Arabidopsis thaliana: one gene and its partners. The protein of the gene in region 1 interacts with the protein of each later gene in a pairwise test. Each region holds a gene or a part of one and is shown in the gene's direction. Other genes may lie near its edges.

Evidence for each region.
Region 2: the proteins of MLO3 (region 1) and AT1G66830 interact in a protein complementation assay, tested with the Arabidopsis thaliana proteins (one large-scale study listed by BioGRID).
Region 3: the proteins of MLO3 (region 1) and AT5G38990 interact in a protein complementation assay, tested with the Arabidopsis thaliana proteins (one large-scale study listed by BioGRID).
Region 4: the proteins of MLO3 (region 1) and CNGC18 interact in a protein complementation assay, tested with the Arabidopsis thaliana proteins (one large-scale study listed by BioGRID).

What each region holds. Positions count from the first base shown.
Region 1 is NC_003074.8:16,615,633-16,621,899, forward strand, and holds MLO3 (Seven transmembrane MLO family protein), read left to right. Parts: upstream 1-1,765; 5' UTR 1,766-1,953; coding exon 1,954-2,103; intron 2,104-2,449; coding exon 2,450-2,507; intron 2,508-2,681; coding exon 2,682-2,884; intron 2,885-3,510; coding exon 3,511-3,627; intron 3,628-3,758; coding exon 3,759-3,819; intron 3,820-3,912; coding exon 3,913-4,001; intron 4,002-4,104; coding exon 4,105-4,179; intron 4,180-4,265; coding exon 4,266-4,354; intron 4,355-4,430; coding exon 4,431-4,480; intron 4,481-4,583; coding exon 4,584-4,624; exon of another isoform or gene 4,625-4,705; coding exon 4,706-4,879; exon of another isoform or gene 4,880-4,905; intron 4,906-4,953; coding exon 4,954-4,989; intron 4,990-5,100; coding exon 5,101-5,168; intron 5,169-5,277; coding exon 5,278-5,338; intron 5,339-5,465; coding exon 5,466-5,720; 3' UTR 5,721-5,738; downstream 5,739-6,267. Other genes in the region: IVD (isovaleryl-CoA-dehydrogenase), read right to left, coding at 6,027-6,173.
Region 2 is NC_003070.9:24,929,350-24,934,835, reverse strand, and holds AT1G66830 (Leucine-rich repeat protein kinase family protein), read left to right. Parts: upstream 1-1,898; 5' UTR 1,899-2,001; coding exon 2,002-3,451; intron 3,452-3,528; coding exon 3,529-4,136; 3' UTR 4,137-4,413; coding exon of another isoform or gene 4,414-4,743; 3' UTR 4,744-4,938; downstream 4,939-5,486. Other genes in the region: PMI2 (PLASTID MOVEMENT IMPAIRED protein (DUF827)), read left to right, coding at 1-838; AT1G66820 (glycine-rich protein), read right to left, coding at 4,414-4,743.
Region 3 is NC_003076.8:15,607,120-15,612,173, forward strand, and holds AT5G38990 (Malectin/receptor-like protein kinase family protein), read left to right. Parts: upstream 1-1,565; 5' UTR 1,566-1,704; coding exon 1,705-4,347; 3' UTR 4,348-4,545; downstream 4,546-5,054. Other genes in the region: AT5G39000 (Malectin/receptor-like protein kinase family protein), read left to right, coding at 4,741-5,054.
Region 4 is NC_003076.8:4,807,573-4,812,671, reverse strand, and holds CNGC18 (cyclic nucleotide-gated channel 18), read left to right. Parts: upstream 1-1,578; 5' UTR 1,579-1,774; coding exon 1,775-2,239; intron 2,240-2,400; coding exon 2,401-2,613; intron 2,614-2,697; coding exon 2,698-3,008; intron 3,009-3,084; coding exon 3,085-3,196; intron 3,197-3,299; coding exon 3,300-3,536; intron 3,537-3,621; coding exon 3,622-4,404; 3' UTR 4,405-4,581; downstream 4,582-5,099. Other genes in the region: AT5G14860 (UDP-Glycosyltransferase superfamily protein), read right to left, coding at 4,913-5,099. UniProt on the Arabidopsis thaliana protein: Cyclic nucleotide-gated ion channel required for directional pollen tube growth into the transmitting tract. Acts as a Ca(2+)-permeable divalent cation-selective channel inhibited by either lanthanum or gadolinium.

The sequences.
Region 1 (6,267 bases):
TTTATCATATATACTGATAATATTAATAACAAAATGATTTGAACCCCTTACATGTGCTCGAGGAGCTGATGCACATGGTCCATCCAACATTTTTTTTTATAAGTAAATCTGTTACAATTAGGGTCCAAATTTTTATTAAAAAATAAAATATAGGAAATGATGACCAATTCTTTTTTTTAGCACATGATTTTTAATTATTTTGAGCCAGCCCTAAGTAAAAAACGTATAGGCTTTTGTCGACGATTATGTTATAAACTTATAACTAGATAAGAACTCGCATCTAGTGTGGGATGAAACGATTAAAATAAATTATTTGATAAAATTATTGATATTTAATATTTGTCTGTATATAATAAAACATGTAATTAATGTTTTTATTTTATTTTAATTTATGTTTGTTTTGTGTAAAAATACGTTTCACCCGTGATTGTTAAAGCTCTAATTCTTGAGTGGGTCGGAACTTGGTTTAATTTGCAACATAATACAAACATCGATATATCAGATCTTTTTTAGTTTGTGTTATAGTGTGCTCAGTGGGGCGGCTGTTGTACGGATAGATTTGAAAGGATTCTTTGTTATGATTCCAACGTTTTTGCAATCACTAGAGAAAACCAATGAGATTGTAAAAGAAAAACGGAAACAAAACAAAACAAAAGAGAAGAAAGCTAGAGAACAAAAAAATGATATTCACTAGACATGGTTTCGACGAAGAAACTGGAAACCAGCCATCAAACAAATACAACAAAGATGATCTGAGCTTAGTCGAGAAAAAAGGATCCTGAATTGCTCGGATGATAAAATCAGACGTGGTTGGGATTTCTCTCTAAAATGTTCTCATCATTTAATTTGGCCATTTGGATATGATTTAAATCCTAATTTCTAGCTTTAGTTTCTTGTTTTTTTTTTTAAATTAATCAAGCACAATAAAAACCTTAGACTTAGAACCCTCCATTTTTTTTCCAACAATTTTGAAAACTATATAAGTTCATTATTTTTATCTCTATATATATATATAAGCTTAAGAAAATGTACGTATAATTATGTTTGTTCAAATGTTCATCCAGAATATTTTACGATGTCATATTGGTTTTGTTTTGTTATCATGTTGTGAAGTAAGTAATCATTTTTTTTATTGTCATTTCCGTTCTTGTATTAAAAATTATATATTGATGTGGTTGTTAAACCGAAAAAGAAGGTGAATTTGGTAGATCGCAATATTTATTGATGAAATTAAGAAAATATCAATAATATGATTTGGGTTCATTACATAGTTTTTTTTTTTACATGTGTAACCCCTTCTCACGGCCACGGTGAAATTTTCATAATATACACAAAAAGGGCAACAAATAAGAAATTTTCATTACATAGTATATTCCTTAATTTTGTTTTTATTCTCATTTAGTTTTTACTAGAAACATTAAAATGAACTTATATTTGTAACGTGCTATTTTGTTTTCTGAACTATCAAATGAACGTCTAACAAAATCAAACTCAAAAACTTATAATTTATAACTCTAATTTCCATTTAATAAATAATATACCCACTAAATTAAAAGTTAAAAGTTAACTAGTAAAATCGACTATAATTGCAGAAAATTAGAAACTGTTTTATCCTTTCTTTACATTGTCGGTTTTCACCGTCCAATACTCCAATCCATTTTTAGTTTACTAACTAAAATTTTTTTATTTTAATTTACTTATCAAGTTTACCCAAGAATAATATTAAGTCTTACCAAGTCAAGACAGGGCAGTACGTATGAAGTGGGACTTGGGATTTAATGTCACATTTAAAGCTTAAACGTCAGTGTTTACTAGAAACTTTGACAAGTTCTTGATTGCAACACAACAATGATTGCGACAATATTAATAGATATATAGTTATATTTTCCACCACATATCTAATTCTTCATCTTCTCAACTAAACAAATCAGTCACCGGGAAAAATATAAAGAGATGACGGATAAAGAAGAAAGCAACCACTCCTCGGAGGTTGGCGCCGTCCGATCCCTCCAAGAAACTCCCACTTGGGCTCTGGCCACCGTTTGTTTCTTCTTCATCGCTGTTTCCATTTGCCTCGAGCGTCTCATCAATCTTCTATCCACTGTAAGTACAAATATGTATATTATAGGATCATATATACTTTCTTCTATACACTGTTTAAATTTTGACTAATCTCTTTAAGTTTTTTTTATAAATTTTTTGTTCTTGGAAAAGTAGAGTTTGGTTTACACTTGCAAGAATTTAAATTGGATATATTTATATTTTATTAAATTAGATATATAGGTGAAGTAGTAAATATGTATGTTAATAAAAATGTATTTTAATATTTTAACCATTTTCGAAAAATATCAGCTAGATAACATGAGTTGAAATTTCAACAAAAAATAAAAAGCGAGTCGAAAGTTCAAGACAAAACTGTATTATATATATATTGTCTCTTTTCTTGCAGAGACTTAAGAAAAATAGAAAAACGTCGCTACTTGAAGCTGTAGAGAAGCTCAAATCAGGTAAAAAACTGTCCCATTCGTAGAAAAGTTCATTGGTCATCAATCTTTGTTTAATTTAAAAAGCTCAAACATCTTATAGTAAAAAAAAATCCTAAATTTTTGGATATGAAAATCAATTGAAATATCTCTTCCAATTTTATTAATCTCTGAATTTTTAATGTTCTGTAAGGGCAGTTCTAATGGTGCTAGGATTCATGTCACTAATGCTAAATGTAACTGAAGGAGAAGTTTCGAAGATATGCATTCCTATAAAGTATGCCAATCGAATGTTGCCATGCCGTAAAACCATAAAATCACATAATGATGTTAGTGAAGATGATGATGATGATGATGGTGATAATCATGACAACAGCTTCTTTCATCAATGCTCTTCCAAGGTTCTTTTTGACCCTTTGATCTTTAATTAAAATCATTTTACAGTTTTATTTTCATTTATCTTTAAATCCAAGGTGGACATATATATAATGTATAAAAGTAGTATACAAAGGTTTTAACTTAGAAAAACAAAAGTTTTGATGACCAGTGAAACTGTAGATAGAAATTATGCAGCAATTTTGTTTTCTTAATCAATCACACAATTTAGTTTTTGATTTATGAATTTTCGTTAAATGATTTTCCAGTTTTCATAACCTTTTATTGCTTACTATTCTACAATATGATTATTTAAATAAGAGATTTAATCATATACATTTTTATATGCTTAACTTATGAAACTTCTGAATCCAAAAGTTTTAAGATATCTTCTTGAAATCCAAGATGGAGGGAGAGAGGACCGCAAAATCCAAAAATGTCAACTAGTTTACTTTGACGTTGACTTGGAGTCTTGGACATTGTCGTTAGCTAGAGTCCACTAATCAAGAAAATTACGTCCAAATAAAAAAGAAAACAAAAAAAAAATTGTTGAGTTATGAACAAAATATCAAGAGTATGACTTTTTCTTTGCTTACTAAAGTAAATTTTATTTCGAAGTAACTAATCCGATTTAATAAAATAAAATTTGCAGGGTAAGACTTCACTAATATCAGAAGAAGGGTTGACTCAGTTGAGTTACTTCTTCTTTGTGTTGGCATGCATGCATATTCTCTGCAATCTTGCTATTCTTCTCCTTGGAATGGCCAAGGTACTACATATATACACTATGCAATCAAATATTATAACATTACAATTGTTTAATAAAGACTTCAATAATTTGTGACATGGTTTTTTACTATTGTTTACATACAAAGTTTTTTGTGTACGTAATACATATAGATGAGAAAATGGAATTCGTGGGAGAAAGAGACCCAAACAGTGGAGTATCTAGCAGCAAACGGTAAGATTTTTGTATTTTTCTACTACGAAATTACATGCAATGTCAATTATTTCTTAGTCGATAAGTTAATTAATATTTTATGAAAATTTAAAGATCCGAATAGGTTTAGAATAACAAGAGATACAACATTTGCTCGACGACACCTGAGTTCATGGACTGAAACATCATTTCAACTTTGGATTGTAAGTTCGTACCTATTATTAATCTTTAATTAATTTGTTAATTAACATTTATCTCAAATATATAGGTTTAACTATATTAATAATTAAGTTTTTTTCTTCTTAGAAATGTTTCTTCAGGCAATTTTACAACTCAGTGGCGAAAGTAGATTACCTCACACTTCGGCATGGGTTCATCTTTGTTAGTACCTCATTTTTTGTCAATGAATAATTATTTAAAAATAAATAAATTTTAAATTTAATGTGTTATTTTGATTATTGATGCAGGCTCATGTATCGTCAAATAATGCTTTCAACTTCCAAAACTATATACAGAGATCTTTACATGAAGATTTTAAAACTGTGGTTGGTATAAGGTAGTCATATTTGTGTATTTTACATGAATCTTAAGTAACAAAGTTAAATCAAATAAACTTTTTAATTTTGTTACAGTCCTTTAATGTGGCTAACTGTGGTCATCTTTATGCTCCTCGACGTTTCTGGTAACTTAATTTATATATTTGTTAGCTTAAATAGTTAAATTAAAATAATTATTAGTGATTACTCGTTTTTATCTTATCTTCTTCTTTTTTTCTTAATCATCAGGTTGGAGAGTATATTTTTATATGTCATTTGTGCCACTCATTGTAAGAGCTAATTTAATCTAGTTAAGACTAATTAACTATATGTGTAACTCAAATTATTGACGAACTAATATTGTTACGTAGATAGTTTTAGTGATCGGGACGAAACTAGAGATGATAGTAGCGAAAATGGCGGTCACAATTAAGGAGAATAACAGTGTAATTAGAGGAACCCCTCTCGTTGAGTCAAACGACACGCATTTCTGGTTTTCCAATCCTCGTTTTCTCTTAAGCATTCTACACTACACGCTGTTTCTGGTAATCTTTTATAAACTACATGTCGTTTTTCCTAATGCTTCATCATAATGCCAACATTAATTTTTCTAATACAGAACACCTTCGAGATGGCATTTATTGTGTGGATCACTGTAAGTTCTAATTTCTTATAGGGATTTTAATATTTGGATTTATAAGAAAGGGAAAAATAATATAGGAAATTGTTATATGTGATGTATCTATAATTTTAATTATGAAATTAGTGGCAATTTGGGATTAACTCTTGCTACCATGATAACCAAGGGATCATAATCACACGACTTGTATTAGCGTAAGCACTACAATTTATTTATTTTATCCCACAAATTATTTACATTTTCGAAATTATATTTTTGTATTAAAAATCATATCGTTAATATTAAGGATATTATGATTTATAGGGTGACAGTCCAGTTCTTGAGCAGCTACATTACATTGCCTCTTTATGCCATTGTAACTCAGGTAATTTAGTCCAATATATATAACACCATTTTTAAATTAAATCGTTTTGCATTAGTATATAAATTATTACTGTTAGTGTAACCTAGTGATCTGAATTTGATTTGGATGCATATATATATGTGTTTAGATGGGGTCAAGCTACAAGAGAGCAATCTTAGAAGAACAACTAGCAAATGTGTTAAGGCACTGGCAAGGGATGGTTAGAGACAAGAAAAAGACTATCCAAACGCCAGACACCGACAACAACAGTAACAATAACAATGGTGATATTGATTCTGGAGAAAGTCCGGTTCAGACAGAAGTTGCTTCTGAGTTTAGATTTTCGGGTAGACAATCGCCGATTTTACAAGAGATACAGATACAAGAGAAAACTGAAAGGTGATCAGATTGATGGAAAATGAGAAAGAGATTGTTGGTATTATTGTTAAGAACTTTTTAGAGTTGCCTTTACTAATTATTGACGAATCAAATGACAAAATAGTAAGTTTAACCAGAAGTGTCAGTGTTAGATTGGCATGCTGGTATCGTGATAACATGTCACACATAATGTGACTAATAATTGATATGGTTTCTAGAGGATTGCTTGAAGCTATTTTTCTTATTGTGAGGTTATTAAGGACACTGTGAATTATATATACGTGTACAGAATGAAAATGTCGCATTGGCAATGCAGAAAACAGACTTATCTCTATTCTTCTTTGAAAAGCTCGCGACCGATGACAATCCTTCTGATCTCGCTTGTCCCTGCACCGATTTCATATAGCTTTGCATCTCTTAGAAGGCGTCCTGTTGCATATTCGTTTATGTATCCATTTCCGCCTAAACATTGTATCGCCTGCAACATCAAACCAAATCTTTTAGTCTTAAAGGAAAGGTAACTAGGTGATCAATATGTGTAGTTATGATCCCTTCGGAGGTTTGCTTTGCTG
Region 2 (5,486 bases), on another chromosome or scaffold:
GCTTGAGAGACTCAATACGAAGCTGCTTATTGCGAAAGATCAATTAGAAGCAGTATCTAAAGCTGAAGAAAGAATCAGCTATCTTGCTGACAATTTAACTACTTCGTTTGAGAAACTAAAGAGTGATAGAGAAGCTGCAAAGAAAGAGGAGCTTAAGCTTAGAGAAGAAGCAAGGATCATCAACAATGAGATACAGAAAACCGAAACAGGATTTGATGGAAAGGAAAAAGAGTTGCTTTCCAAGTTAGATGAGCTTGAGAAAGCGAAGCACGCAGAGAGTTTAGCTCTAGAGAAGCTTGAAACAATGGTAGAGAAAACAATGGAAACTCGAGAAATGGAATCTCGGCGTAATTCAACTATTACAATATCGAGATTTGAGTACGAGTATTTGAGTGGAAAAGCTTGTCATGCTGAAGAAACTGCAGAGAAGAAAGTGGAAGCAGCAATGGCGTGGGTCGAAGCACTAAAGGCTAGCACTAAGGCGATTATGATAAAGACAGAATCTTTAAAGAGAGTGAGTGGGAAAACAATGTTGGAAGAAGAGAGGGAATCGTTTAGGATGCAGAGGTCGCTATCGATAAAGAGATTGGTCCAAGATGAGATTCAGAAGTTCAAGGGAAATTCAGAAGACAATGGCTTGATCAACTCTCCTAAACCGGTGAGAAAATCGGTTAGGCTGAGCGGGAAATTTGCACCGGTTCAGGGAGGGAAGTCGAGAAGGTACTCATCAGGGAACCGAGCGACTCCAACATTCTTTGTAATCAAGAAGAAGAAGAAAGTTCCAAACATGGTCAAATTTTTTAGCCGGAAGAGGCGTAATTCTTCTTTAGAACAATGAGAAGTTTAGTTATCTTGTTGAAGTGAGTGTAAGTTTTTTTATTGCTTGCGTGTTAAGTTTCACATTGTTTTTAGCTTGTAAGTGATTTATTTGTTTTGTATTTTTGTTATTTTTTGATAATAAAAAAATGATGTATTTATGTAGACTTTAGGTGTATATTAATGAAAATAATGTATTGCATTGTATAAGAGTCAGGTAAATTTTTTCATATTTGATTTTGGTAATTTGAATGGTTTATATCGAACTAGAACCAACAAATTTCATACATGACCAGCCGTTGATAAAAGAAATTTTGGCATAAACTATATTATAGACACACAAATCAAAGTAAATTAAAGTAAAAACGAATTTAATTGTAAAGAATGAATCATATTCATATTTTAAAAAAAACAAAATTATGTACTTGTATCTTTTTTTTCTGGTCAACTAGAAATACATAAAAGATTACCGGCTAAGCTAATTTGTACCACAAACGTCTACAAAATTTTTTATAAATTTATGTTTTATATTTTAAATTAAATGCTCCTCGAAATAATATTTTGCTAATGTTAAAACCAAATTAACTTATAAAATTATGCAACAATCATAGTAGAAATGTTTGGCCATGACTCATAAAATTCACACAAGTAATATTATTGTTTTCATATATTTTTCCGACAAATGTTAACTCTTTTCCCCCAAACTAGTTATATTTGTCTCAGACTCCAAAACAGAAACAAACAATCTAGAAGTAAACTAGAGTACAAATCAAATCGAAACGAAAAACTTAAATTGACCGGCACAACAATAATTCTGGTGGAGATTTGACTTTAGGATTTGGAAGTAAAATTGTCAATACATTACCCCACCACTAACTAAACAACTAGAAACTAGAAAAGCTATTCCTCATTACCTTACGTGTCCCCTACTGTTTCAATTATAGCCTCAATCATCGCTAATTCCATTGACATGTAAATGAGGTATATACAATTTGTTTGATGCATGAATTTAGATATAAGTTTCTTCAAACATATAAATATCTTCAAAAAATTTAGAATTGATAAGAAGTTAAAACTGTTGACTTGATTGAAAACTAGGCCAGTCCAAGCTATATAAACACTAATTTCTTGGAGATATTTAGGAGCCAAACTTTACTCAATTCAGAATTGTGTCTCTCTTTAGAGATGTCTCAGTTATTTCTCATTCTCTGCTTCATTCTAACTCATTTCTTTGCCATAGCCACTTCTCTAAACGATCAAGGTCTTGCTCTTCTTTCCTTTAAACAATCCATACAAAACCAGAGTGACTCTGTTTTTACCAATTGGAACTCTTCAGATTCAAACCCTTGTTCTTGGCAAGGTGTTACATGTAATTATGATATGAGAGTTGTCTCGATTCGTCTTCCTAATAAACGTCTTTCGGGTTCTCTTGATCCATCCATTGGAAGTCTCTTGTCCCTTCGTCACATTAACCTAAGAGACAATGACTTTCAAGGGAAGTTACCTGTGGAACTCTTTGGACTTAAAGGGCTTCAAAGCTTGGTGCTTTCTGGAAATTCTTTTTCCGGGTTTGTCCCAGAAGAGATTGGTAGCTTGAAGAGTCTAATGACTCTGGATCTTTCGGAGAATTCTTTCAACGGTTCGATTTCTTTGTCGCTTATTCCATGCAAGAAGCTGAAAACGCTTGTTCTTAGCAAGAACAGTTTCTCTGGAGATCTTCCAACAGGGTTAGGTTCTAACTTGGTTCATCTTCGGACACTGAATCTTTCTTTCAATCGCTTGACTGGAACGATCCCCGAAGATGTAGGAAGTCTGGAGAATCTGAAAGGTACACTTGATCTTTCTCATAACTTCTTCTCAGGTATGATTCCAACAAGTCTTGGAAATCTCCCTGAGCTTCTCTATGTCGATCTTTCTTACAATAATCTCAGTGGTCCGATACCAAAATTCAACGTTCTGTTGAATGCCGGTCCAAATGCTTTCCAAGGGAACCCTTTCCTCTGTGGATTACCGATAAAGATTTCTTGCAGCACAAGAAACACACAAGTAGTTCCTTCTCAACTATATACAAGAAGAGCCAACCATCATTCTAGACTCTGCATCATCCTTACAGCCACTGGAGGCACAGTCGCCGGAATCATTTTTCTTGCTTCATTATTCATCTACTATCTCCGAAAAGCATCGGCTCGTGCAAACAAAGATCAAAACAACCGAACATGTCATATAAACGAGAAACTGAAGAAGACGACAAAGCCAGAGTTTCTCTGTTTCAAGACTGGGAATTCAGAATCTGAAACGCTAGATGAGAACAAAAATCAACAAGTTTTCATGCCAATGGACCCGGAAATCGAATTTGACCTCGACCAGCTTCTAAAAGCCTCGGCTTTTCTTCTAGGGAAGAGCAGGATCGGGCTTGTGTACAAGGTAGTTCTTGAAAATGGATTAATGTTAGCCGTTAGACGATTAGAAGATAAAGGTTGGCTACGGCTCAAAGAGTTTCTAGCTGATGTCGAAGCAATGGCGAAAATCAAGCACCCTAATGTCTTGAATCTCAAGGCTTGTTGCTGGTCTCCTGAAGAGAAACTCCTGATTTATGATTACATACCAAATGGTGACCTTGGTTCTGCAATTCAAGGTAATTTTAGTGTCAAAATCGCATAAATCTATGACCATAGTTAAGATTCAAGACTGATTCATAAAAATTTATGACAGGTAGACCTGGTAGCGTGTCATGCAAGCAACTAACCTGGACGGTCCGGTTAAAAATATTGAGAGGAATAGCAAAAGGATTAACTTATATTCATGAGTTTAGTCCCAAAAGGTATGTCCATGGACATATAAACACAAGCAACATACTTCTAGGACCGAATCTTGAACCGAAAGTATCCGGTTTCGGTCTAGGTCGTATCGTCGACACGTCTTCAGATATCAGATCAGACCAAATCTCTCCCATGGAGACAAGCTCACCAATCCTCTCTAGAGAATCATATTACCAAGCTCCTGAAGCAGCTTCAAAAATGACTAAACCGTCTCAGAAATGGGATGTGTATTCATTCGGTTTAGTGATACTCGAAATGGTAACCGGAAAATCTCCGGTTAGTTCAGAAATGGATTTGGTTATGTGGGTTGAATCGGCTAGTGAGAGAAATAAACCGGCTTGGTATGTTCTTGATCCGGTTTTAGCTCGTGATAGAGATTTGGAAGATAGTATGGTTCAAGTCATCAAGATCGGTTTAGCTTGTGTGCAGAAGAACCCAGATAAAAGACCACACATGAGAAGTGTATTGGAGAGCTTCGAGAAATTGGTAACTTCTATTTAATTATTATTAATTAATGAAAAGTAATAATTTTAATTAGATTATGTGTTTACTTCATAATTTTCAGATTACTTCATAAATTTCATGTGATAATTTTTATGGTTTTTCTGTTAATCATTCATAATTGTGATATTATTATGAAAAATAAAAGGACACAAGGGAGGATATTTTTATTGAACTTATATAATTAACAAAACTGTTAATACAGTACAAAATTAACATAATGCTTTAAAAATCTTTTACCCAAACCCGACCCGGAATTATGAACCGGAGCTTTTTTTCATAGGTCAAATCTCTCTTTGATGTCATCGAAACTGTACCCGCCGCCAACTCCAAATCCGTATCCAAACCCGAACCCGATACCACAACCAATACCGAATCCAAGAACCACGTTAGAATGGTCAAGTCCTTCAGAGGCACCTATTCCGAGCCCGCCGGAGAGACCAATGCCGATTCCAGCGCCGCAGCCAATGCCGCCGCCGATTCCGGGACCGACGGTTGTTGTCTTGATGTTATCGATTTGTGTACGGAGGAATCTGGTAACCGGAAATTCTGATTTCCCGGTTTTGACGTCTGGTTTACGGCTCCAGAGTTTATTAGTTGATCCCATTGGTTTTGTGATTGGGCAAATGACGATCACTGAATTGTGAATTTATGAGTGATGAGAAAATCAGATAAGATTTGAGAAAAAAGATGAATATGCGTTGAGGTATTTATTGGGCTTATTGTCGCATATATTGGGCTTTAACCCATTTAAGTCTCTACAGATTCTCTCCTATTTATCAGTTTTTTTTAATGATAAAAGATACACATGAGATACAAATTCTTCAAGAAAATGTTAAATACAGATTTGGATTAAGTTATATGATATTTTGTTTTTAAAATGTCGTAGAAAGGGTAAGAAGGTAATTTGGGCAGGGTTGTTGGGTTAGAAGGAAGGAAACATTTTCTAGTTAGTTAGCTACAACGAAAGATTTTGATTGAAGTATATTACACATAGGAAAGAAAGAGGGACCATAGTTAGTTAAAGTTGTGCTCTTTAAGCAAACAAAACTCACATATATTCCTTACCTTACTACGGTCGTTAACAACATGAAACTAAACATACATGCATATATCAAAAAACCAATTTAATCATCAATTCATTAACTATTCTTATTCATGATTGGCCCAACCAAACTTAATAAAATGACCTATTCTTCTTTATTTTTGTTTCTTCAAACACACCAATACATACTTCCTTATTCTCCAAGTTACAAACAAAACCTCCCCTCCTAACAAACTTTTTGTTTCCATCTATTTTTTTTTTCAAAATAGATTTTTGCTTGAGGTTCATATTTATATACTTGCTTA
Region 3 (5,054 bases), on another chromosome or scaffold:
ATTCTCTATGTTTCAGTTTGTGTCGTTCTAAGCGTTTGGGAAATAACTTGCTTGTAACAAAATGTACGGTGTCTGTTTGTTGCCAAATTATTGAGTGTTGTTTCTTAATAATTTTCTTTAAAGTCAGCGAAGTAATTATTCTATAAAAACTAAGAGTTGCTCTATCTAGATATATATACAATTGTGGACTACTTCTTTAAAAATTAAATAAATTGGTAAAGTTTAAAGGTACGTCTCCCAAGCAGAAACTGAACTAAAGAATTCAGGACCAAACTCCTCTGAAGGGAAACACTCAAAAAACAAAAACAAAAAAAGATTCATTTGGTAAACATAATAATAGTGAAGAAAATATAATATGCCAAAAGTGGGTTTTGAACTCATGTCCTTATGGAAGTGCAAGTTTACGTATTAATGTATTATTCAAGTGTACTAATCGCAAGTAAGAAAGGACGAGAAGTTCAGAAGCTGTGTTCGGGATTTGTTGCTTTTCCTTCAGTGTCTCTAGTCTGTTTTAGTTCTCGGATTTTTATTGGTTTATGTCTAAGTGTTGTACGTAGTCTACTTATTCTAATTTTAGATCGTGTTGTTTTAGTGTTTCTTGCTAGTCTCCGAAGTTTCTTTATTCGGCTTTTTCTCCTGAGATACCAAAGTATATTTTAATATGTATATGTTGGCTTTGTTTTATTCGTGTTCTTCGGTCCTTTGATGTATGTTCTCAGCCTTTCGACAACAAATCCAATATATAACTTAGATGACAAAGAAAAGAAATAAAAAACCTCATATCCTTATATACTATCTGAAACTAGCCATTTAAACAACCTTCGCTATTTATTTTACTTAAGCGATGAATGGTAATTGATGTACAAAATCAGACAAGTAGTAAACTTAGGGGTTTTTAGTAAGCTTAGTTCGTATCGAGAATCAATGGACGTAACTTTGAGGTTTAACTCTCCTCCTTAACACTTTTTATGATATATCAAATCAAATATATTTTTTTACTAAGATTGGTGTTCTTCAATTAATGTTTCATCTCTTTTAGGTTCTTTGCACAATAAGTTTTTCATGAGCTATCTAAGTTCTTAGCTTATTTTCTATCTTAATAAAGCTTTCAATCATTGTTATAAACATAATTTTCCTCTTTTAAAATAAACGTATATGTAAATAAGTAATATATTCACAAATAAATATAAAACTTTAAAACTAAGATACTGAAAAATATTTTTGATAGTTTTATAATTAAAAATCAATCTCTTTTTATATCTCAATTGTAAAAAACACTGCAAAACAAACCTCAATATAAACAATATTAGTTATTTTCCACAACCAAATTTTACATTACAAATTTACAATTATATCTTCTAGGCTTGCTAAGTCTAACTAACTGAAGCTCATAGCATGTGGTTTGATTTTAACCTATTTACTGGAACCCTCTAAAATGAACCCAAAGCTCTAAAAGAGTCGAGCTTTTTTGGGTTTGAGTCTGAGGGTAGACTAAAACAACAAATGAGTCAATTTGCGTCATCTTTTAATTCTTGGACCTTAGGCAAATTGACCCCACGGAAGAAAAACTTCATCGATACCTTCTTGTTTTGCTTGACCTGAAAAGTCAATGGTTGACCAAGTGAGTCACTCACCACCCATTAGTCTCTTATCTTCTCAAAATTCTTCAATTCTCTTCTCGTTTTTTTTTTTTTATCAATTCCAATGATCTGTCACGTTTTAGTAATTTTCACTATTCTCGTTTCCGCCGTCGTCGACGCAACGGCGTCGTATGAGCCCACTGATGTCTTTCTCATCAATTGCGGCGATACCTCCAACAACATGGACTACAGTGGCCGGAACTGGACGACGGAGAATCCGAAATTTATGTCATCGAATGCAGTTGACGACGCGTCGTTCACTTCATCTGCGTCATACCAAGAATCAGGGATTCCTCAAGTGCCGTACTTGAAAGCTAGGATTTTCCGATATGATTTCACTTACAGTTTTCCAGTCTCTCCCGGCTGGAAATTCCTCCGGTTATACTTTTATCCGACCCGTTACGGATCCGATTTCGACGCCGTTAAATCCTTCTTCTCCGTCAACGTCAACCGTTTCACTCTCTTGCATAACTTCAGTGTAAAAGCTTCCATACCGGAGTCAAGTTCTCTAATCAAAGAGTTTATCGTTCCGGTTAACCAAACTCTTGATCTCACGTTCACGCCCTCTCCGAATTCATTAGCTTTCGTTAACGGAATCGAGATTATCTCCATGCCTGACCGGTTTTACTCAAAGGGAGGATTTGACGACGTTGTAAGAAACGTTGGTAGGGACGTTGACTTCGAGATAGACAACTCCACGGCTTTCGAGACCGTTTATCGGGTAAACGTAGGTGGAAAAGTGGTGGGCGACGTCGGAGATTCGGGAATGTTCCGGCGTTGGCTTTCCGATGAAGGTTTCTTACTCGGTATTAATTCGGGAGCCATTCCGAATATAACAGGTGTAAAGATCAACTACACGGATAAAACTCCCGCGTACGTTGCGCCGGAAGATGTATACACGACGTGTCGCCTGATGGGGAACAAAGACAGTCCTGAGCTAAACCTGAATTTCAACCTGACGTGGCTCTTTGAAGTCGATGCCGGGTTTGCCTATATAGTGAGGCTTCATTTCTGTGAGACGCAACCGGAAGTCAACAAAACGGGTGACCGCGTCTTCTCCATCTTCTTCGGATATCAACTGGCCATGCGTGAAATGGACGTGTTTCGGCTGAGTGGTGGTTTTCGGCTACCGATGTATCTAGATTTCAAGGTACTTGTCGACGCCGACGGAACTAGCCAGAGACCTAGTCTTCGAGTTGACTTGACACCTTACAAAGAGGACTATCCAACCTATTACGACGCTATTTTGAGTGGTGTAGAGATTCTCAAGCTGAGTAATTCTGATGGTAATCTTGCGGGGCTTAATCCAATTCCTCAACTAAGTCCACCACCACAATCTATAACGCCACTAAAAGGAAAAGGCAAGTCATCACATGTTTTGCCAATAATAATTGCAGTGGTTGGTTCTGCAGTTGCGCTAGCGTTTTTTGTTCTTGTTGTTGTCCTCGTTGTTATGAAGAGAAAGAAGAAGAGCAACGAGTCTAGTGTAGATACCACGAACAAGCCTTCTACGAACTCGTCATGGGGTCCTCTTCTGCACGGGACAGGCTCTACAAATACAAAATCTGCCTCATCTCTTCCATCAGATCTCTGCCGTCGATTCTCCATCTACGAAATCAAATCCGCCACAAATGATTTCGAGGAAAAACTAATCATAGGAGTAGGCGGGTTTGGTTCTGTCTACAAAGGACGAATAGACGGTGGAGCCACACTTGTTGCGGTTAAACGGCTGGAAATTACATCGAACCAAGGTGCTAAAGAGTTCGATACAGAGCTCGAGATGCTTTCAAAGCTTCGACATGTACACCTCGTCTCTCTAATCGGATATTGCGATGACGACAACGAGATGGTACTTGTCTATGAGTATATGCCACATGGTACACTTAAAGATCATCTTTTCAGGAGAGACAAGGCCTCTGATCCTCCATTGTCATGGAAACGAAGGCTAGAGATTTGCATTGGAGCAGCTCGTGGATTACAGTATCTTCATACTGGAGCCAAGTACACGATCATACATAGAGACATCAAAACCACAAACATACTTCTCGATGAGAACTTCGTCGCTAAAGTATCTGACTTTGGTTTATCAAGAGTTGGTCCTACTAGTGCTTCTCAAACGCATGTCTCCACCGTCGTTAAAGGAACGTTTGGTTACTTGGATCCCGAGTACTATCGCCGTCAAATCTTGACCGAAAAATCCGACGTGTACTCTTTTGGAGTTGTTCTGTTGGAGGTTTTGTGCTGTAGACCGATCAGAATGCAAAGTGTTCCACCGGAACAAGCAGATTTGATCCGATGGGTGAAGTCAAATTTCAATAAAAGAACCGTTGATCAGATCATTGACTCAGATTTAACCGCTGATATCACTTCGACCTCGATGGAGAAGTTTTGTGAGATAGCCATTAGATGTGTTCAAGACCGTGGTATGGAACGGCCACCGATGAACGACGTTGTTTGGGCGCTTGAGTTTGCTCTTCAGCTTCACGAGACTGCTAAGAAGAAGAATGACAACGTGGAGTCTCTGGATCTAATGCCAAGTGGTGAAGTTGGTACGACCACGGACGGAGAAGATGACTTGTTTAGTAGGACTACAGGACACGTTGGGAAATCGACCACGACCGATGACTCTGTTCTAGTTGTTGGTGATGAGAGGAGTGGTTCGAGTTGGGGAGTATTTTCGGAGATCAATGAACCTAAAGCACGGTAGATTTGATGGCTTGGTAAACAAGTATCACATTCTGGTTAGGGTTGATATATATTTGTGTATGTATAATTGTTGAATAAACACATTATTGTATTTAAATTACATTTTGATGATTATTTAGCAGCTTAAATTTAGATATTATATACTTGCTTTTATTTGACCAGAGATAAAGTTGGATTTTTTTTTGGCGGTTCGTAACGGTTGAGAATATGTTTGACATTTGTCTCAAAATGCAATCAAAAAAGTTTTGCAATATAAAATTTTGTTAAATACAGTCGTTAAAAAAAACAAAATTGTTAAATAAGTTCCTTCGCCATTTCACGTGGCTCTTAAGTCATAACCTAGTTATGAAAAATGAAAAACACCTAATCTTTTCTTTTTCAACTTCAATACCAAATGATCCGTCACGCTTTGTTAATATTCTCTATTCTCGTTTCCACCCCCATAGTAGGAGAAGGAGCAACGTCGACGTATGAACCCACCGATGTCTTTCTCTTCAACTGCGGCGACACTTCAAACAACGTCGACGTTAGTGGCCGAAACTGGACGGCGGAAAATCAGAAAATTCTATCGTCAAATTTAGTCAACGCTTCGTTCACTGCACAAGCGTCATACCAAGAATCAGGAGTTTCTCAGATTCCGTACATGACAGCTCGAATATTCCGATCTGAGTTCACCTACAGTTTTCCAGTCACTCCCGGTTCAAATTT
Region 4 (5,099 bases), on another chromosome or scaffold:
TAGGAAGAGTAACATTTGTTTTCCTTATCTTAATATAAGCAACGAAATCAATCGTGCATATAAAAGTGAAATGCTATTTTGAATTTTCTAAACTTGACTAGCAAATTTTCACTAAAAAATAAAATTAAAAAGTAACGATAAAGTAGTTGTCGTATAGTCTACTCCACATGAATAAAATAATAAAGTAAATCAATAGAATGTAAATCTCTTAATTAATCATACTTATTATATAATCACAGTGGCAAAGTGGAATAAAAAAAAAAGAGGAGAATTGGATCCCGTCGGATTCTATATTTAAAGATCGCTAAACATCTCAAATCTGCCACACGTGGTCATACTTAATAGCAGCCATTAACGAAGTAATAAATTAGTCGATAATAATGTTTAACCAACATCGTATTTCTAGATCCATGAATTAGTTGGAGTAATTAACATCATTGTTTCTTAATTACGTTTAACAAGCATAGAGAAAACAATATTGTCACATATGTTAGTATAAGTTATCATAATCATTTATAAAAGCTTGTTATTAATTTTTTATATTGAAATTACTACTTTGTGTCTAATCGGAAAATGATGGAGTACTAAAATTTGAAGGACTAAAATACGTCATTATTGTTAGAGAAAACAATTACGCATAAGTGTGATTTTTTGGAAGTGGAAAAGTTAGTATGTCCCTCTATATGATATGATGGAAGTTGTTGTTCTTTTTGTGTGGATAAACATCATTTTTCCGTGACGTAATTTTTAATTTCAGTATTCATTTTATTATTCTCACTTCTTATTATCCCTTTTATATTCGCATAATTGTTTCTAAGGATTTCTATTCCCTTTTTGTTATTTTATAGGTACACTATCTTATGGATGGTGTCAACAAGCATGTACACTATCTTCCCACTACCACATATTGTCACAGAATGTTTGGTACGCGTGCTTCTATATACTTTTAATAGTACATAACAACAACAAATGAATTATGTAAGACAATTTGTTAAACTGATGTCAAAAACGGAAATACTACAAAAGACAGTATAATTGAATTACGGGTTTAATGTGTTGACAAAATATAATAAATGTAGCTCATAAAACTTCAATAATTCACTTAAATAAATTCTAATGAACCTCATAACGAATTAGATATTTTAACTAATCTTATCATGGTTTTACGAATTAATTATAATTTTTTTTTTTATTCTTTGAACAATTGAACTAAACAATATTAAACCGGACTTTAAGTTAAAACTACTAAAAACATTATTAGTTTATCAATAGAAATGATCATAGCAATTGTATACATTATAATGTGTAATTTTAAAATCCTAAAGCATATATAGTATATATCCCTTTGATTTTCATAGAAAAAAAGTAGAAAAAAATAACTATTGGGCCGATCTATAACTATTGGGCCGGTGGGTCCAACAACTAAGAACAGTAGATATTGTGTCGATTGAAGTTTTGAGATGCAAAACGTGTGCTGTTTTGAGAACACAAAAACAGCATAAACAAACGAGACCCGCAACTATAACATTCCGTAAATACCCTCATTCTCCCATCATATTTTCAAAAACTACCCTTCCCCCTATTTCCATGGCCCTTCTCTCAGTTTTCCCGCGAGAAATCCTCTCCTTCTTCCATAATCATCAAAAACAAAATGCAAAAACCCAAAAAAACAAAAAATCACACGACGCAACCACCTAGCCTCTCTGTCCATCAATCTCAATCTCTCTCTGTGTTAATGCGGAATCCGATTTAACACCGGAATCCGCCATGGAAGATGAATAAAATCCGGTCTCTCCGCTGCCTCCTCCCGGAGACCATAACCTCCGCCTCCACCGCCGCCTCAAATCGAGGATCTGACGGTAGCCAATTCAGCGTCCTATGGCGGCATCAGATCCTGGACCCGGACAGCAACATCGTCACCTATTGGAACCACGTCTTTCTCATTACCTCAATCCTCGCTCTCTTCCTCGATCCTTTCTATTTCTACGTCCCTTACGTCGGTGGTCCGGCGTGTCTCTCCATCGACATCAGCCTCGCCGCTACTGTCACTTTCTTCCGTACAGTCGCCGATATCTTCCACCTCTTGCACATTTTCATGAAATTCAGAACTGCGTTCGTCGCGAGGAGTTCTCGTGTTTTTGGTCGCGGTGAGCTTGTTATGGATTCTAGAGAGATTGCTATGAGATACTTGAAGACAGATTTCCTCATTGATGTCGCCGCCATGCTTCCCCTTCCTCAGGTTCTTAAGATTTTGCTCTTATTTTGAATGTGAAAGCAATGATATGGATTACGATTAGCTAAGATCAATGTTCAAAAATCGTTAGGCGGTAGCTAGAAGATTAAAGAACAGAGATATTTTGGGAGCCTCATGCTTTGTTTCTGACTATCTTTTGATCTCAGCTTGTTATTTGGCTAGTAATTCCAGCGGCCACAAATGGAACTGCTAATCATGCCAATAGCACTCTCGCACTTATCGTTCTTGTTCAATACATTCCAAGATCATTCATCATATTCCCACTCAACCAAAGGATTATCAAAACAACCGGGTTTATCGCCAAGACTGCTTGGGCAGGAGCTGCATACAACCTCCTATTGTACATCCTTGCTAGTCACGTAAGTTTTCTTTATCTTGTGTGTTTTTTCAAATCTTTAGGTTTCTTCAGTTTTAAGTTGCTAAGAATCTCTATTTGTGGGCAGGTGTTAGGAGCAATGTGGTATCTGTCATCAATCGGGCGGCAGTTTTCGTGCTGGTCCAACGTATGCAAGAAAGACAACGCTTTGAGAGTTTTGGATTGTCTTCCTAGCTTCTTGGATTGCAAGAGTTTAGAACAACCAGAGCGCCAGTATTGGCAGAACGTTACTCAGGTCCTTTCTCATTGTGATGCTACAAGCAGCACTACCAATTTCAAATTCGGAATGTTTGCTGAAGCCTTTACCACTCAAGTTGCTACAACAGATTTTGTGTCCAAGTACTTGTATTGTCTTTGGTGGGGTTTAAGAAATCTAAGGTATGACAACCTTTTATCTAACCAGTATCTGCTTAAATTGTCCTCCTTTGGTTTTAATAAAGGTTTTGTTTCACAGTTCTTATGGACAGAATATAACCACAAGTGTATACCTTGGCGAGACCTTGTTCTGTATAACAATTTGTATTTTTGGGTTGATTCTCTTCACACTCCTGATTGGTAACATGCAAGTAAGATTCAGAGCTTATGCATCACTCTGCAAAACTTTTCAATACAGAGACATTTTTTTGTCTTTCTAACAATAGACTTCATGATTTTTAATTTGGTGGAAAGTCTTCTCTGCAATCGATGTCAGTAAGAGTTGAGGAATGGAGAGTTAAGAGAAGAGACACTGAAGAATGGATGAGACATCGTCAACTACCTCCAGAGCTTCAAGAACGTGTCCGAAGATTTGTCCAATACAAATGGCTTGCAACCAGAGGTGTCGATGAAGAATCAATCCTCCATTCATTACCTACAGATTTACGCCGTGAAATCCAACGTCATCTTTGTCTCTCCCTTGTTCGCCGGGTACATACATCAACTCAGTCATCAAAAACTGTTATGGATTTGATTGTTTTTCAATTCAGAAGTCACATTGTTGTGGTAAGTGCAGGTCCCGTTCTTCTCTCAAATGGATGATCAACTTCTTGATGCTATATGCGGATGCCTTGTCTCATCTTTAAGCACGGCCGGGACATACATATTCCGTGAAGGTGATCCGGTGAATGAGATGCTATTTGTGATCCGAGGACAAATAGAGAGCTCAACAACAAATGGAGGAAGATCTGGTTTCTTCAACTCCACTACTCTACGACCTGGCGATTTCTGTGGGGAAGAACTTCTTACATGGGCCTTAATGCCAAACTCTACACTCAATCTTCCGTCTTCAACACGAAGCGTCCGTGCCCTCTCTGAAGTAGAAGCCTTTGCATTAAGCGCAGAGGATCTTAAGTTTGTTGCTCATCAGTTCAAACGTCTTCAAAGCAAAAAGCTTCAACACGCTTTCAGGTACTACTCACATCAATGGAGAGCATGGGGAGCATGTTTTGTCCAATCTGCATGGAGAAGATACAAGCGAAGAAAGCTTGCGAAAGAGCTCAGCCTTCACGAGAGTAGCGGATACTATTACCCGGATGAAACAGGTTACAATGAAGAAGACGAAGAAACTAGAGAGTATTACTATGGAAGTGACGAGGAAGGCGGATCAATGGACAACACAAATCTGGGAGCAACGATCTTAGCATCTAAATTTGCGGCGAACACGAGAAGAGGAACAAATCAAAAGGCTTCAAGTAGTAGTACTGGTAAGAAAGATGGATCTTCCACCAGTTTGAAGATGCCTCAACTATTCAAACCAGATGAGCCTGATTTCTCTATAGATAAAGAAGACGTTTAAAGTGTAGTCATTATGGGCAAAAAACTTTTGTGTGAACTGTTTGGTTTTAGATGGTAAATAGTTAGGAAACTCCCTTAATTATTTCAACTTGTAATTTTTCTTTTCTTTTCGTTTCGGTTTGAGGATGTTAGATATAGAAAACGAGTGTAGAGTAAAAATACATTGTTCTTAAACTGTCTCAATGTTATATAGTCTGATTTCTTCTCATAGTAGATACTACTTTTGCATACAAACTCATTTTTAAGTCTTTCAGAAGAACACTAAGGTGTTGATAGCTTCTTCGGATTGACCAGCCAATATTAACCTCAAAGATAGCAAAAATCTCATAAAGCAACCACTGAATGCAATTGAAATTTTTTGAAACTATAAGACCAAAACCAAGAATTAGAACTCCAAATTAGTCATTCATATCCAATTGAGAAGAATGGACCAACTTTTCAACAAACCTAACATATTTAATGACTAAAATTAGGTACGAAGCCGTTTTGTTATCCAATCCTTAATCTCTCTAAGCATCAGAACTTGACAACTTATTAACACCGTCTGGCTCTCTACTCTTACAAAGCTCTTCCAGAAGCGAATCCAAACTCTTCCAAGACGAACCAGTCCCTTGAGCCATAGCTTTTTTCGCCATTTTCGCATACTCTTTTACATTCTTCATCGTTGTCTTCCCCATCTCTCCCTCCATCAATTGT